Oreochromis niloticus: one gene and its partner. The protein of the gene in region 2 interacts with the protein of the main gene of each other region in a pairwise test. Links are inferred from orthologs where the notes say so. Each region holds a gene or a part of one and is shown on either strand. Other genes may lie near its edges.

Region 1 (7,610 bases), on a different chromosome or scaffold from region 2:
CTCTCCCAGCACTCCTTTCCCATCAGTCTGGCTCTTTCAGTCTTTCTGTCTGCTCCCATCCAACCACCAGACCGCTTCTTTGATCCTGACAGATGCCGCACCTTAGAAGGCCTATTCCTCTGTTTCCTATCCAAACCAGAACCTTTTAAAGTGGACTGCAGTCTGACGGTTACATTTGAGGTCATGCGTTTAACTTTCCTCCGCCTCCTGAGTGGACGTCCGGGGTTATTCTCATTGAAGGAGTCGGACTCTGGCCAGGAGGACTGCCTCGCCCTGACTGAGCCTCTCATGAGGGACGGCCATCGGGTGGATGCGGTCATATCGTCAGAGTCACTGCAGTTGGCCACAGAAGTAGTGATGTTCTCCCTGTATTCTTTAGCCTCGTCCAAGCTGGACTCGGATGCCTCGATCCAGCATCGCCTGTGCTCTATCGGGTAGAGGGTGGACTCGCGAAAACGCTTACGGCCTCTGCGACGGCGGATCTGACGGCGTTGCTCCAGAGGACTCAGGACCATTTCCTCCCACAGCTCTCCAAGCTTATTCTGTTCTGAGGTCTGCTCCAGTGCAGACACCAGGTCCTGCACCAGCTCATCCATCATGGTGCTGGGAAAAAAAGAAAATGTTAGTGACCAGTTAAACTCTTTGGATGTCTTGTCATGTTAAATTGCAGTTGTTAAGTGCAGGCTAGAGGTTTATATGAAACAATAGAAACGTCCAATGTACTTTGATGTGCTCCTCCTGAAGTCACTCTCATTTTTTGAAAATATACCCACAATGTGGGCTTTTCTAAATGATTATCACCATCTTCACTCGCTGGCCAGTTTATTAGGCACACATGTTAAACCTCTTGTTAATGCAAATATCTAATCAGCCAATCACACAGCAACAGTTCAGTGCATTTAGGCATGTAGATGTATTCCTGCTGAAGTTTAAACTGAGCATCAAATGGGACTGGTCCCAGTATTTCAGAAAGTGCTGATGTACTGGGATTTTCTCACAATGGGTTATGGGTGCCAGAATGGGTTATGATGCCAGAGGAGAATGGGTAGACTGACTTTGAGCTGATAAAAAAGCAACAGAAACTTTAAATAACTACTCATTACAACCAAGATATGTAGAAGAGCATCCCTGAATGAATCTGCAGAAACCACACTGGATGACACTGCTGTTAGCTAAGAACAGGATACCAAGACTACAGTTCATACAAGATCACCAAAACTGAAAAGTAGAAAATTTGAAAAATGTTATCTGGTCTCATGATTCCCCATTTTTCCTGCAACATTTGAAATCAAATCAAACATTTAGACCGCTGCTGGTGGTGTACAGGTGCAGAGGATTTTCTTGGCACACCTCAGCAGCTCAGTATTGTTTAAACACCACAGCACACCTGGGTATTGTTGCTGAACACATCCATCCCTTTCTGACCCACCAGTCTACCCACCCTCTAATGGCGACTTCCAGCAGGATATGCGCCACGTCCCAAAGCTCAAATCATCTCAAACAGGTTTCTTGAACATGACAATGACTTCACTGCACCCGGATCTTAATCCGCTAGAGCGCCTTTAAGATGTGCTGGAACAGGAGATTCACAACACAAAATCTACAGCATCTGCCTGATTCTGTCATGTCAAAATGCACCAAAGTTTTTGAGGAATATTTCCAACACCTTGGTGAACCTGTGCCATGAAAAATGAAGGCAGTTTTGAAAACAAAAGGGTGTCCAGTCCAGTACTACCAAGATGTTCCTAATAAAGTGGCCAGTGAGTGTGAATATTCAAGGTGTAAAGAAAACAACAAGTCAAACCATTCATTGAGAAAGTCTAATGGAAATAGTGTATTTGCAGGTTGTTACTTTGCTGGACTTGCCACTAAACGACATGCCATTGTTCCCTTTTAATTTCATATATTTCTACTCTTATAATTATGCAATCATTAGTGCTGCAGCGGGCATTCTGCTAGGACAGCTGGGGTCCACCTGTCCCTCTGCAAATCAATACAAAGTTGCTTTCTTTCTTTATGGGCGGGTTCTCTTATGGTTTGAGGAAGACATAAATAATGTGCTAAACCCCGCACAGTCGCAAGAGCATCATTAATTGCCTAATATGGAAGTATCTATTGAAAGGATGGTTTGTGGCTTCATTTGGAGAATGAGTTGCAAAGTGAAACTGCTCCGGAGGGACTTAATAATGCAGTTACACGTGTTTCTTGTAATTTGTTACCTGTTTGTGTATCAGCAGCATTATGAACTATACCTTCCCAACCATCTCAGCCATGATGACTGAGGTCCATTTCAGTAGACCCAAGTAGCCAAGTGGCAGTCATAATCCCATTTTTAAAGACATGGGACAAAAAACAAACAAACAAAGAAAAACACCACCTCCTCGCAACAATCACAAAGTAAATCTACAATAGCTTTAGCGCTATAAAACATCACTAGGTTGATTTCCCCCCCCTTTAAGTCTAGCAACATAAATTCGTGGTGGGCTCATCACCGGAATTGCTCCGTGTTTGATTGCAGCGGTGTAGAAAGCGCTGCATTTACGAGCATTTGCAGGTCATCATCGGCTTAAAAGAAAAGAAAAACGATTGACATCACGTTTTATTAGCAGTAAAGAAAAGCGACCGTGTAGCTGTGCAACATCAGTGCAGCACAACAACAGCTCAGGCTGGCTGTAGTATCCGCACGCTCAGCTCAGCCTGTGTTACATAACAACAGCTCACACGTGAGCTCAGCACAAGGACAGCCACACATCTCTGTGTCCACTGCTGACAACAAAACAAGCGGTTTACACGCGCTCAACACAACAGCCGCCTCACGGACACGGTGCGCGCGGATCTATTCGGATGCTATTTAACGCCAGGGAGAAGACATCCCTCTGCGTTTCGAGCACTCACCAGTCGCAGCTTGTCTTGTTTTGTTTTCAGCACAGCTGGGACACCAGACGCACTTCCGCCCTGCAGTCCAGCCAATCGGGTGGCTCCGCCTCGCTGTGACTCCTCCAAACAAAAAAAACAAAAAAACAGTGCGCCACTGCACAGTGCTGTCGAAATACAGCCTGCAAGGCAGATAACACCAGCGTCTGATCATTATGGCATCACTTCAGGAAACCGACGGAGTGCTGGTGTGGAAGATAATGTCAGTCAAATCTGACTTTGAAAATGTGCAAGTTTTCTTCCATCAGGGTTTACAAAAAGTTGTGGTGGTAGGAAAGGAGGACTGTAGGGGGACTGCATGCTGACGGTCACAAGGGACAATTAGAATGAGCTTATGCTTATTTAGTTAGTGAAGTACCTGAGAAAGTCCCATTCAGTTTAGATCATGTGTGTTTTTCATAGACTAAATGTAAAACTGCATCTTGTATGTTTTGTATATATTTAAAGAAATAGCTCTATGTTAACATCAGACCACCTCTCAGTGTTAGCAGGCTGTCTCACACAAACATACTCCACTCCTGTTTTGATGGGATTTGGTAACTTTAGCTGGATACCTTTGCTTCCACTGTGTAGAATTCAGAGGTTTTAGAAACTATGGATTGTTTTCTCTGCTAAACACTGCTAATGCACTGTTTTTCTATGCTGATCTAAAATGAAACTTAAAATTGTGCACCCGTGAGTTGGATATATAGTGCAAAAGTCTTAAGATACCCTTATTTCTATGTAGTTTCCTTGCAAGTAGCCAGACTTTCTTGTCATTTTTGAAGTGGTCTTAAACATTTGTTCTTCAAGCTTTCAGAAGTTCTGTCAAAGTTTTTCTTTGGACATTGGCTGATTTTTAACTTGTTACCAATCCAGTCATTGTACCACATCTGATAGTCTGATAGTATTTAATAGGTACATTGTTAAGAAACAGAGACAAATCCAGGAGAGACATGACACAGGACCTGAGAGATGCATCTGGCCCTGATTGGGAACAGCTTCATTTTGCAGTATGACAGTGATTCCAAACACACTTCCAATGCAGTAAAAGCATACGTGGATAGAAAAACACAGAATTACAACACCATCAGTCATGGATTGGCCTCCACAGAGACTGGACCTTAACATTATTGAAGCAGTGTGGGATCAAGGACAGAACAAAAGACAGCCAACATCCAAAGAAGAGCTTTGAATGTCCTTCAAGAAGCCTGGAGAACTATTCCTGAAGACTACCTAAAGAAATTACAAGAAAGCTGCCTAAGAGAGTTCAGACTATACTGAATAATAAAGGTGGTCATACCACATAGTGACTTTCAAGTTTAATAGAATTGTTCAAACTGTGTTTTTGCCTTATATACTGTATTTCCATTTATGCTTACACATTTTTCAATGAATCTCTTCACCCATTTCCCAAAATAAAGACACAAGGGATGGCTCATGACTTTTGCACAGCACTGTATAATATTAGCATTAACCAAAGTCAACTTCATTAGTGTGTTACCTAAATCTGAAGTCAGCAATGCAAATACACCAACGGTGAGAGCTGACTTTGAATGAGGAGAAATATTGGATCCAATAGTAAACCGGGAGAAAACCATTTTTCTTCCTATTTTTTCATCTCGAAAGGTGAAAAATCCTCCTAAAAAATGCCTGAAGGAGACTTTTTAAAGCATCCATCCATTTTCTTAACTGCTTGCCCAGCTTAGGTTTGCACTGGTGAGTGGGTAAGTGGGGGCGCTCAAGGCAGAAAGGCCCCAGCTGACGAAGAGGTTCAAACCAGGAATCTCCTTGCTGTTAGGTGACACTGCACCACTGTTCTGCTCTTTTCTCAAGCATATCTAACACTATGTGAAGGCTTCAGGTATTATTAGTAACAGGTTTGCACTGTGTTGTGAGTATGCAATTTACTCATTCTCTTTTTAAGACACTGTTGTGTTGGATTGCACTGTTAGACCTCACAGTGTATTGCAGGGCAGTATGTCATATAGCTGTTCAGTGGGAAATGATCTGTCACACAGCTTGAATAAAAGAAAAATCAAAGAGCTTTCTATTTGCTGCATGGCTGTTGTGGAATTGCACAAGCTTCTATAGCCGCTCCCAGCTGTGTTCATCCATAAAATGATTGCATACATAGAAACATGCATATGCTGTGCATGTATCAATGTTACATTTTGTCCAATTTCTTCAAACCAAAATCCCAAACCATGTTAAATTTGTAATTACTGTAGTTCCAGATGTCAGATTACAGTAATTCTGTTGCTGCCACACTTTTTAAAACAATAGTGGACTAATAAGTGTTTTATGATTGAAGCTCACTGTAATGATGTTTTCTCAATGCTAGTGTTGTTGCTGAATGAAGCAGAAAAAAAGTAATTTACCATTTCTTTCATCTATCAGATGAATGCAGCCCAAATAATAAAAAAGAAAAGTCAGTGAAAATGAGTACAAAAGCCATTTAATCGCTCTCATCTTCCTCTTAATAACTGCAAATTTCCCCTTGGGCCCATGGGAGAGGGCCTCTCTGTGCCGCTGCCACCTTATCTGTCGCCTCCATATTTCAGCATGCTGAGCGGCTCCCTCAGTACCCAGCCCCCGGCCTCCTCTCATTGGGCCTGTGGGGAAGCTGGGCTCCTGGGCCCGCCATTGTTCTGGCCTGGGAGGAAAGTCCGGAGAGAGCCCTGAAAGCTGGAGTGTGGGAATATTAAAAAAGAAAGAAAGGAAAAAAAAACTTTAGCCACTGCTTCATTAAGTGGCAGCCTTTCACAAGCAAACATATCAGAAACAGCCCCCTTTCAGAGGCAGTAATTAGCAATTTGGAAACCTTGCCCCCTCAGGATATACTGTTTCAATTTAGTCAGCAGCTTTGGATTCTTAGGCACTTAATATTCATTGTTTCTGCCTTCTTCCCAATTTCTCGACGTACATTGTCTAGTCTTTCACTGGCGATAAAGTGTTTTATCTGTTGTGTAATTCTTCTTTTGAATGAGCTCTCTGCAAGAGAAGTTAATTTTTATAAATAATTTTCTAAGGGATTTGCAGAGAATGTGAGGGATGCGATAGCAAAGTGCTCTTCACAAAGTGCCAAAGTGAATATCATATGGAGTTTGGAGGCTTCATTCAGTAAGTGTTGGAATAAATAAGGGGACGGGGAAAGTTCCTGCAATTTCCTCTGATGAAGTTACATCTTTAATGCGTCAACGCACGCGTTCATGAAAACAAAAAAAAACAGAAGTTTGCTACATCTGGACCCCAACTTTGACTCTGCGAGGAACAATGTGACACTAAAAGTACAGAATTATGAGCTGTTATTATTAATAAACTGCTCTGTGTTTGTATCAACCCTCTGCAAAGATTTAATAGCAAATGTTTTGCAAACTGCTTATTAAGCCAAACCACACATCACACCTCAGGGGTAGCAGACTGACACTTATCTTTGTCTCCGTGGAGCCTTTGTTTCAAAATGTTACCACTTCCATTCATTTTCAATCAGCATTGTCTAATAGAAATAATTGATTTTTTTTTTTTTTGCCTCTTCTTGGCAAATGAAAAACGCTTGTGATTAAACACTTTGTCTCCAAATCTAAATTCCAAGATCGCCATCAACACTTGAGAAAAATAGGCAACTCATTAAAGCAAAAAAAAAAAAGAAGAAAAAAGAAGTAGCTAAGATGTGAAAAGAGGAGACAGGGAATGAAATAATGAATGGAGTCCGAGCGAGCTATCTTTCCCAGGCAGAGCGCCACTAGGGATGCAAACTCTCAGCCACCAGAAATGAGCTACCTATCTGTGAAAAGAGTGACTGCTCCATCCTATTTGATTTGGCTCTCCTATCAACTCTTAAGAAGATGTCAGCCTTGCTTCTTCTATTGCTCTGAGCCTTTATCAACCCGGAGACGATTTCCCGGGGAAAAAAAAAAAAGAAAGAAAAAAAGAAAGAGGGGAAGAGTAAGTGGGGGGAGAGACACATTTCAGTGCCTTTCAGGGAGCAACACTAAAGAATAAGTGTTATGCGATAAAAAGGGGGTTGTTAAATAGATCTGTCTATTTGTATGGTAATAATGATCGCTTAAAGACTCGGGTCTCCGTGACTTGTAGAACAAGGAAACAAATCTGTATTCAGGTATTGTGTTAACATGACTCTCCCAACGACCTTGTGAAACTTTCATACAGTAAAAAATGAGTTGGATTTGAGTTTTTCCCCCCCTTCTGTTTGTATCATTCTTTTCTCTGTCCTTTTAGAGAAGGGGAGGGGTTACAGAGCTGAGCGCCAGCTCTTTACATTTTAAATCATCTTTGTCAGAGCCGTTTTAGACAGATGGGAATGATTTGAAGAGTTCTCTAACAGATCTGTCTCTCTTTAAAAAACTAATCCTACGAGGGTGTCTCTTAATATGTTTCGATCATTGTTATGTGGCATCTTTTTCATCGCTGAAAAATATTTAACTGCAAGTAAAAGCAGACTTTTAAGTTACAGATGAGGACAGAGGTATTGCTTCCCCTATGAAATAATTTTTTTTTGTCAAAAGCAATGAAGCAAAGGATTTTCAACATTTCTATATATACTAATTTTTATTAAAAAAAAAGAATAAATTAATTCTGTTTGAACAAAATAACAGAATTATTCCAGAAAAAAATAAAATACCGGGGTCAAAATTATTAGCCCCCTGAAAAACTGATCTTTTAACTGTGCAGTG
Region 2 (7,017 bases):
TCAAGTTTCTCGTCCAGATGGTGAAACCTAATCAGAGCTCTATCTCATGCAACAGGCAGTGCTCTGATATTTAGACAGCTGACTGAGTCAGCAGCCTAGTTAGCCCCAATAATCAGCGTGATTGGTGTTAGCGTTGGGAGAATGCGCTGCACATGTAATGAGTATGCAGTGACTATTGTTGCAGAGGAAGTGGGATCTGGAGGCAAGGGCTCAGTTTTCCAGTGATTTGACAAAAGAGGAAAGGGAGTAGGAGGTAGAGTGATGAATTAATGGGTTAAATGTACTATTTCAACATTTTGCATGTGGACAACTGGACATTTAGTGCAAAGGAAAATAAAATGTTGAAATCTGTCATTTTATGTTGTAAAATGGCAAATATTTCAGTTCACTTATGGAGTTTCTAATAATCACCACGGAATTTGGATTGAAAGCTAAATTAGTGCCAGTGGTGTTTTTGTTTTGTGTTATTATTTAAAGTCAGTCTAAAGTTAATCCTGTTATATTTCCCTAACTTTTGGTATATAAACTTGTTGTCAGCTACAGCAACACCCAACCAGTCAGAGGGGGAAGAAACACACTCTCCAAGTATCCTGTGGAGATGTGGGAATATCACCGGTCAACTGCAGATGATGCACTGCGAGTACAGAGACCTTATCCAAAGGGTGCAGGATTAGCAATGACAGGCTGAAATCCTCAAATGGACACAAACTGGCAAGCAGACTTTCTATGAGAAACTCTCACTGATATCACTTTGCTAGTGAGATTTCTTGCGACTCGACCCCGGCCATTTATCATCGTGTGACTGATTATTGTGGTGCCTGCAGGTTGCAAAGGTTTTGCAGGTCATCAGCTGCTTTATTATCAATTTAAATATAGTATTAAAAAGGTGTTTATTTATTAATGATTTGTGAGAAGTGTGCTTTTTATAATTATCTGTGGTTTTGAATTTTTAAATACATTTGTATGAATGAGGCCCGATTCAAGAGCAATTAAATGATTATACATGCATAATTTATGGGTGATTTTTGGGAGAATCACAAATGTAAAATTTAACAAGAAGGTGTGTTAAAGCTCACTGCCCTCGGGAGCTTTACTGTCCTGAACAACTGCCTGTAGATAAAAATAAAGGAAACTTGTAATGGTCTTTTAAATTTTGTAGGAATTAAGTGGCGTGTTTTTTTTGTGATAATAAGATCATTTAAAATAAATGAAAAAAGGTCAAATATTAATATGATTAGCTACATACATTTTGTAACAGTAGTAAGTTCCCTATCTAAACTTGGCCTTTGTTAAACATGACACTACAAATACTTCCCAGTCTTTCATTTTACTTCAGTAAACCTGAGATTTCTTTTAACTGCAGTTTTTAGTAAATGAAAACAATTTGCGTCCGCCCGGTTGTTTAGTGTGCCATGAGGCACCGGTGTAGTCTTTTACAATCCATGACATTAATTCTTTACTGCCCTCTTTATTCTCAGCTCTCTAAAAAGTGTTGCAACAAACCAGATGTGATTTTTAAACAAAACATGCCAGTAGTCAGATGTGCCTGCACACTTATGATGTGGCCTTTGCTCCACGCTTCAGTCCGCCTGTCGCCTCCCGCCTTGCTGCGTGTCAGCCGGCACCTACAAACCGCTTTCCAGACGTTTTTTTGTTTTTGTATCAGAGCTGCAGAATTCCCAACAGTTGTGCTGTTGAATGATTTAGAGTGATGTGTACAGATGTTTCTGTTATTCTTGAGCTCTGTGTGGAATTTCTTAAATGCTGATATTTATGTTAAAATGTTTATCCAAGTAAAATAATGAACAAAGACATTTTAGAAATGCCTCCAAAGTATTTTACATGAAGTCTCGGGTTGTGCAATGTGTCAGCTTTAAAAAACACACGAATGAAATCTCTGCCTTCAGAACTGCTTCACTTATCGCTTCGGAAAATCCCAGCTTCTCTTACCTGAACTGTCACTTTTCCTCTTGCCGTTTCTCTTCTCGGCCTCAGCAGGTGACAAAGTCTGTCTGCCAAAGTCTGCAGGCACACAAGAGGCCCCTGTAGGGGTGCTGCCACTGCCTAGACTGGGGGTGCTGGCGCACATACTGGGCCCACCGGGGTGGCCCAGGTCTGAAGGCGTGGGCCCATTGTCGTGAGATGAGTGGGAGTGTGGGTGGCAAAGGCTGTGGCGAGTACTGCTGCCAGGTGACGGCATCTGCGGGATATGCCAAGATGTATGGTGCTGAGGTGGGTGGTGATGCTGCTGGGAGGGCAGGTGGCCGCGGTGAGGGTGGTGGTGGTGCTGCCCAGGAAACAGGCTGTCGTCACCCGGGTAGCTGGAGATGATACAGGGCGAGGGTGAGGAGGTAGAGGAGGAGGACGACGAAGAGGCCAGGTCAGGGTAGGAGACATGGTCCGAGCGTCCGTGAAGCGCCAGAGGAGACTGGGTGAAGGCGGGATGCAGGGCCTGCGCCGGGGCGTGGGGGCTCCGCAGGCAGCCGAACAGTGTGTGATCCATTGTGTGCAAACACACACACGGCCCTCCGGGAAAGGTGAGAAGGGCAAGCGTAAGAGGCAATGTTACTAAATCAACCAAAATCAGAAAGATCACAAGCGCATATCCAAGATGCTTCCCTTTCTTCCTTGACTATCCCAAAACTTTTCTCTTCAGTTAGGAAAAAATGGTCAGAGCAGCAAGTAAAATGTGTTTTGAAATGGGTGTCCTGTGGTAATCCAGAGCATGCGGCCAGTTGCCAGGCTGTACAGGATAAACAGTTAGCCCAGGACAAGCTGCAGCTGAGCCTCTCAGATGTCAGGAGGAACACGGGACTGGAGCTCGAGGCTGGGAGCAGAAGGAGGTTCCTAGGAACTGCAGAACGAGGGGAGCCAGCGCAGGGGATGTTATAAATAGGGTGTAACGTGAGAGGGAGGCTGGGTCATAGACTGCATACGCGCTACTGACCACATACATATGATCACCCTCCAAAAAGCACAGCATAATAAATCTGTACTATTAAAATGGCTGAGCCTCAGGAAAGAAGGCAATTTATTTTGGACTTGGATCTGACCTCGGGTGGCCATCTTTTTTTCCTACAAGAAAACAGCCTTAATGGTTCATGGGTGGGGCTGGGGGAGGGAGAGGGAGGTCGTATGAGGGGAAGGGAGAGAGTGTGAAGAGAGAGCGAAGGAGAGGTGTCAGAGGTTAACTCAGCGTGTCACCCCATCTTTGTCAAAAGTTGGTGGTAGCGGGCAAGGATGCTTGTAGCGTCCATTAAAGGTCACTTTAAGCCATCACTATCACGATCATGTGATGTTAAGAGAGCTATTTTGTCACTGCAACGCAGACTTGCAACTTATTGGAAACAAATATTTTGGAACCAAACTTTTCATAAGTGAAAGGAAGGCTAACGTTTTGCCCATGCTAGACTTAGAATGACCACGGTTCCTTTTTAATGTAGTGTAACCAATCATTTTGTGAATGTGACTTTTTTTGGAAATGGTGTTTATCTCATTTTGAAATGAAACACATCATTAAACCGATATGGATACATTTCGACTTTTGATACGAGGTCGTGAAGGTCACAAATCTGCTTCCTGAAATAACAAACTTTATTCCACTATTTTTTATCACCAATAATTGCTGTGGCAAATGTGGAAATGCTATTTTATACAATTGTAGATGCCAACACATTGTTTTTATATAAACTATGCCTGTAACAATTTCTATTTATATATATATATATAAATTAAATATTAGTATGTGGAGCGTATTCGTGTGTAGAGAAGGAAATGAACAGAAGGAAAGTTGTTCATAAATTTTTTGCTCCTAACATTAGTGTCTCTCTTTAAATTTGTTTGGCTATAAAAGAAAAGTCATTCTTTGTGAGAAGTAGGGGGAAAATAGCAGCTGGGAAACAGCTGTGAATGTGTCACTGGTTTCTCTTATTTTCTCTAATTATTCATATCCAGAGCTCAACTAAAGCTCAAATAAAATCAAATAAAATTCATTTATTTTTCTCCTGTCAACCTCATTTAAGACAGAAAGTCTTGGAAGAAAAAGATGAGACATAATAATGATTTGTAGCTGTATGGTATTGACCTAATGGGGGAATTATAAAAATCTGGTTCTATACAATTACATTTTCTTAGTCACGTAATTTAAAATGTAACACTTTGTGTGATATTGATGGTTCATATAATAGAATTAAATTGTAACTTAAGTGTTTTACATTTTCGGTGAAATACAGATGAATGATCGTCTGATAGATATCTCCTTTCCTTCCTATTTCTGTTTTCTAAAATTCAAAAGCACACTTGCACACTGCCCGCAGTATGAAATAAAAGAATACACAGGATAAATTAAATCAATATAATCTATAAAACAAAATTAAAAGTCAAAGCTGCTTCAGAGCTTTCATGGCTCGGCCAGGTTTTAGAGGGAGACGGTCACGATGACTCCACACTCTAGGGATCCAGTCAGGCTGTGCCATGGGGCTCTGTGAGCCGCCTGAGAAAGGAAATTAATTCCTCTTTGAGGGAAAATTACTTTAACAGATAGCATGGCGGAGGCAGGCTGTAACTTTGCCGCTGTCGCTCCCCCCCAGTCCCTCCAAAGCCTCTGAAGGCAGCAGAGGCAGCGCAGCAGAGGAAAGGCACCTTAGGTGAGTGAGTGTCAAACTCTTCTACTGTTTATCTTACAAATTAAGGCTATTAGCAGGTTAGCCCAGGCTATATATTTGCTCAGGGCCTTGAGCAGGTATTACTACACACGTGTTTCCAATCCTATTGCTGGTCTCGCTACACCGATGGCCTGTGGCGTGGGTGTTTTCAGTCGGTCCGAGTCTTTGGCCCTTGTGAGCTTTATGAGGCAAAATGTTCTTGTGTGTGAATAAGTGAGAGAGTGTTGGTGTGTAAAATAGGGATACATTCATAGTTAAAGCCGACATCTTTTATTGTTAAAAAAATGAAGGATCAAAGAGTCTTATTGCCCTCATAAAAGCAATTAAATATTTTACACATTTTATATATTTAATTAGCTTCTCTTTTTTATAAATTAAATGTAATCCCTGACACTGGTTACATTTTGTGCCTTTAAGAGCGCCTAACCCTAAAAGTAAACGTCATTAGTTTGTATTCAGTGAAGATATTTAGTGTCACATGATGGTGTAAATGCATTTTCAAATGTGTTCGAACTCTGAAATTTTAAAAAACCCAACAACTCTTATTTGGAAATAAGAATGATGATATTCTGAATACTGGCACAAACCGTGGTGCTGTAAATCCACCGCTACCTGTGTTGGCCTCCAAAAGCACACATTTGTCTGACTTTTTATGTGATGACATGTGACATGACGTTTTAAGGCGAGTGTGTGTGTAAAGCATAAAAAGTTCAAAAGAAGAGGCTACCAAGAGGCTGTGTTTGCGATGATCTTAAAGCGGGGCTCGGGGCAGCATGTTTTCTCTGCAGTACACAGAAACTGAAGGTAAAAGACCTGCTGCTCAACCTGTGGCTGTCAGTCAGTCCCACAGGCAGGACACATTACAGCAACCACAGCTCAGTGCCACCGTCACCAAAACAAACATGCAGCTACCACTTTACTCCTTTTCTTATACTAATTTAAAGAGTGTGTGATGGTGTTTAAAGTTAACATCGTCATTTGCTGCTAAATTACCAAACTTTGTCTAATTGCTGAAATTTTACCAGCCAGCAACAGTGAAAGTTCTGGCTTTTGCTGAAATGTAAAACAGTGAAAAAGTATATCTGCCTTTCTTTAACATGTTATTAAAATTTCTAAGGGTTCTTTCTTTTTTTTCTTTTCTTTTTTTTCTTGTAGGCAAAACACAAAAGAGAGCAAAAATTAGAAGAAAAGAATAGAAGGAAGCTGTGTAGTTGGATTTAAAAGCCCCTGAGAGCTTGGAAGGAAAAAATCTTACCTGGAAACGCAATAGGCCAATACAGAGGTACTACACAGATAAGCACACAAGCAATGATATGATCAAAAGCAAACAGAGCAAACAAAAATCCAACAGAGGCATAAAAGAAATAATGTGTTGAAAGTGTGTTGTATGCATTAAAGAAATGAAAAAATGAGAGAAGGGTAACGGTATGTTTTCATATTTCCTTTATTTAGCATGTAAATGAGCCTTATATGGCACCTGGCAGTGAACAAAGATGTTAATATATTTGTTAATATGTAACAAATATGTTATTATGGGGCTCACGTTCAAACACAAATTAGAAAAACACAGATGTAATAATGTAAAATATCTTTTTTAGGAGAAGTTATAATTGCTGCCTTTATGTCCACATGCAGCAACTTTAGAGTGTGTTACAAAACACTATATATTTATATACTGCATTTAAAAAGAAATCTGCTGGCACACCAGCTTACCAGACTTTATGATAAAACTAAATCCTTTCAGTTATTCTTGCTGCCACTTGCTGCACTCACATTCCCAAATTTAACGGGCCCGGATGTGTAATATGCTTCACTACAGAAAAGCTTTGATGCCGGCTCTCTCGGCTTCAGAGTCTAATATGAGCATTTAAAAAGGCCCAGTGTGTGTGTAATCAGTATTAAACTTTTTCCTCTTGTTTTAGTCTCCGGCTAATATGGAAACATTTCAGAGTGTATAACACTCAGTGAGCCTCTAAAGCGTGCAGCGAAGTACGGACGTGATAACCGAAGTGTCTTTGTAAATAAGTAGAAACCTGCAGAAGGTAGAACACTGATTTCTCCTTACCCAAGATGGAGTGAGTACAGTGATTTTTATTTAAAAATAAATTTTATTATTATCCCTTTTAATAAAAATTGCAAGCAAACGTGTTGGAAGACAAGCAATTTTCACGATTGTCATCAATAGAAAATCCCTTTCAAATTAGTAGCAGCAAGTAGTTTTTCCTCATTTTTGTCAGGCTCCGTAACTTGAACATATTTTTAGGACTCAGATTCTTAATAAGGAGGCAATACTTAAATGTGCTACAGCTTCGTTGACAAATACCATATCACACTGAGCTGATTTTGTGAGTAA

Evidence for each region.
Region 1: the proteins of meox2a (region 2) and G patch domain-containing protein 2-like interact in binary tests that used the Homo sapiens proteins (3 or more experiments, as listed by UniProt). The two-hybrid records come from large-scale screens. The link is inferred for Oreochromis niloticus from reciprocal best matches to the Homo sapiens genes MEOX2 and GPATCH2L.

What each region holds. Positions count from the first base shown.
Region 1 is NC_031983.2:10,367,204-10,374,813, forward strand, and holds the start of G patch domain-containing protein 2-like, read right to left. Parts: upstream 3,015-7,610; 5' UTR 2,896-3,014; intron 604-2,895; 5' UTR 600-603; coding exon 1-599.
Region 2 is NC_031976.2:32,488,344-32,495,360, reverse strand, and holds the start of meox2a (homeobox protein MOX-2), read right to left. Parts: upstream 3,005-7,017; 5' UTR 2,504-3,004; coding exon 1,951-2,503; intron 1-1,950. UniProt on the Homo sapiens protein: Mesodermal transcription factor that plays a key role in somitogenesis and somitogenesis and limb muscle differentiation. Required during limb development for normal appendicular muscle formation and for the normal regulation of myogenic genes.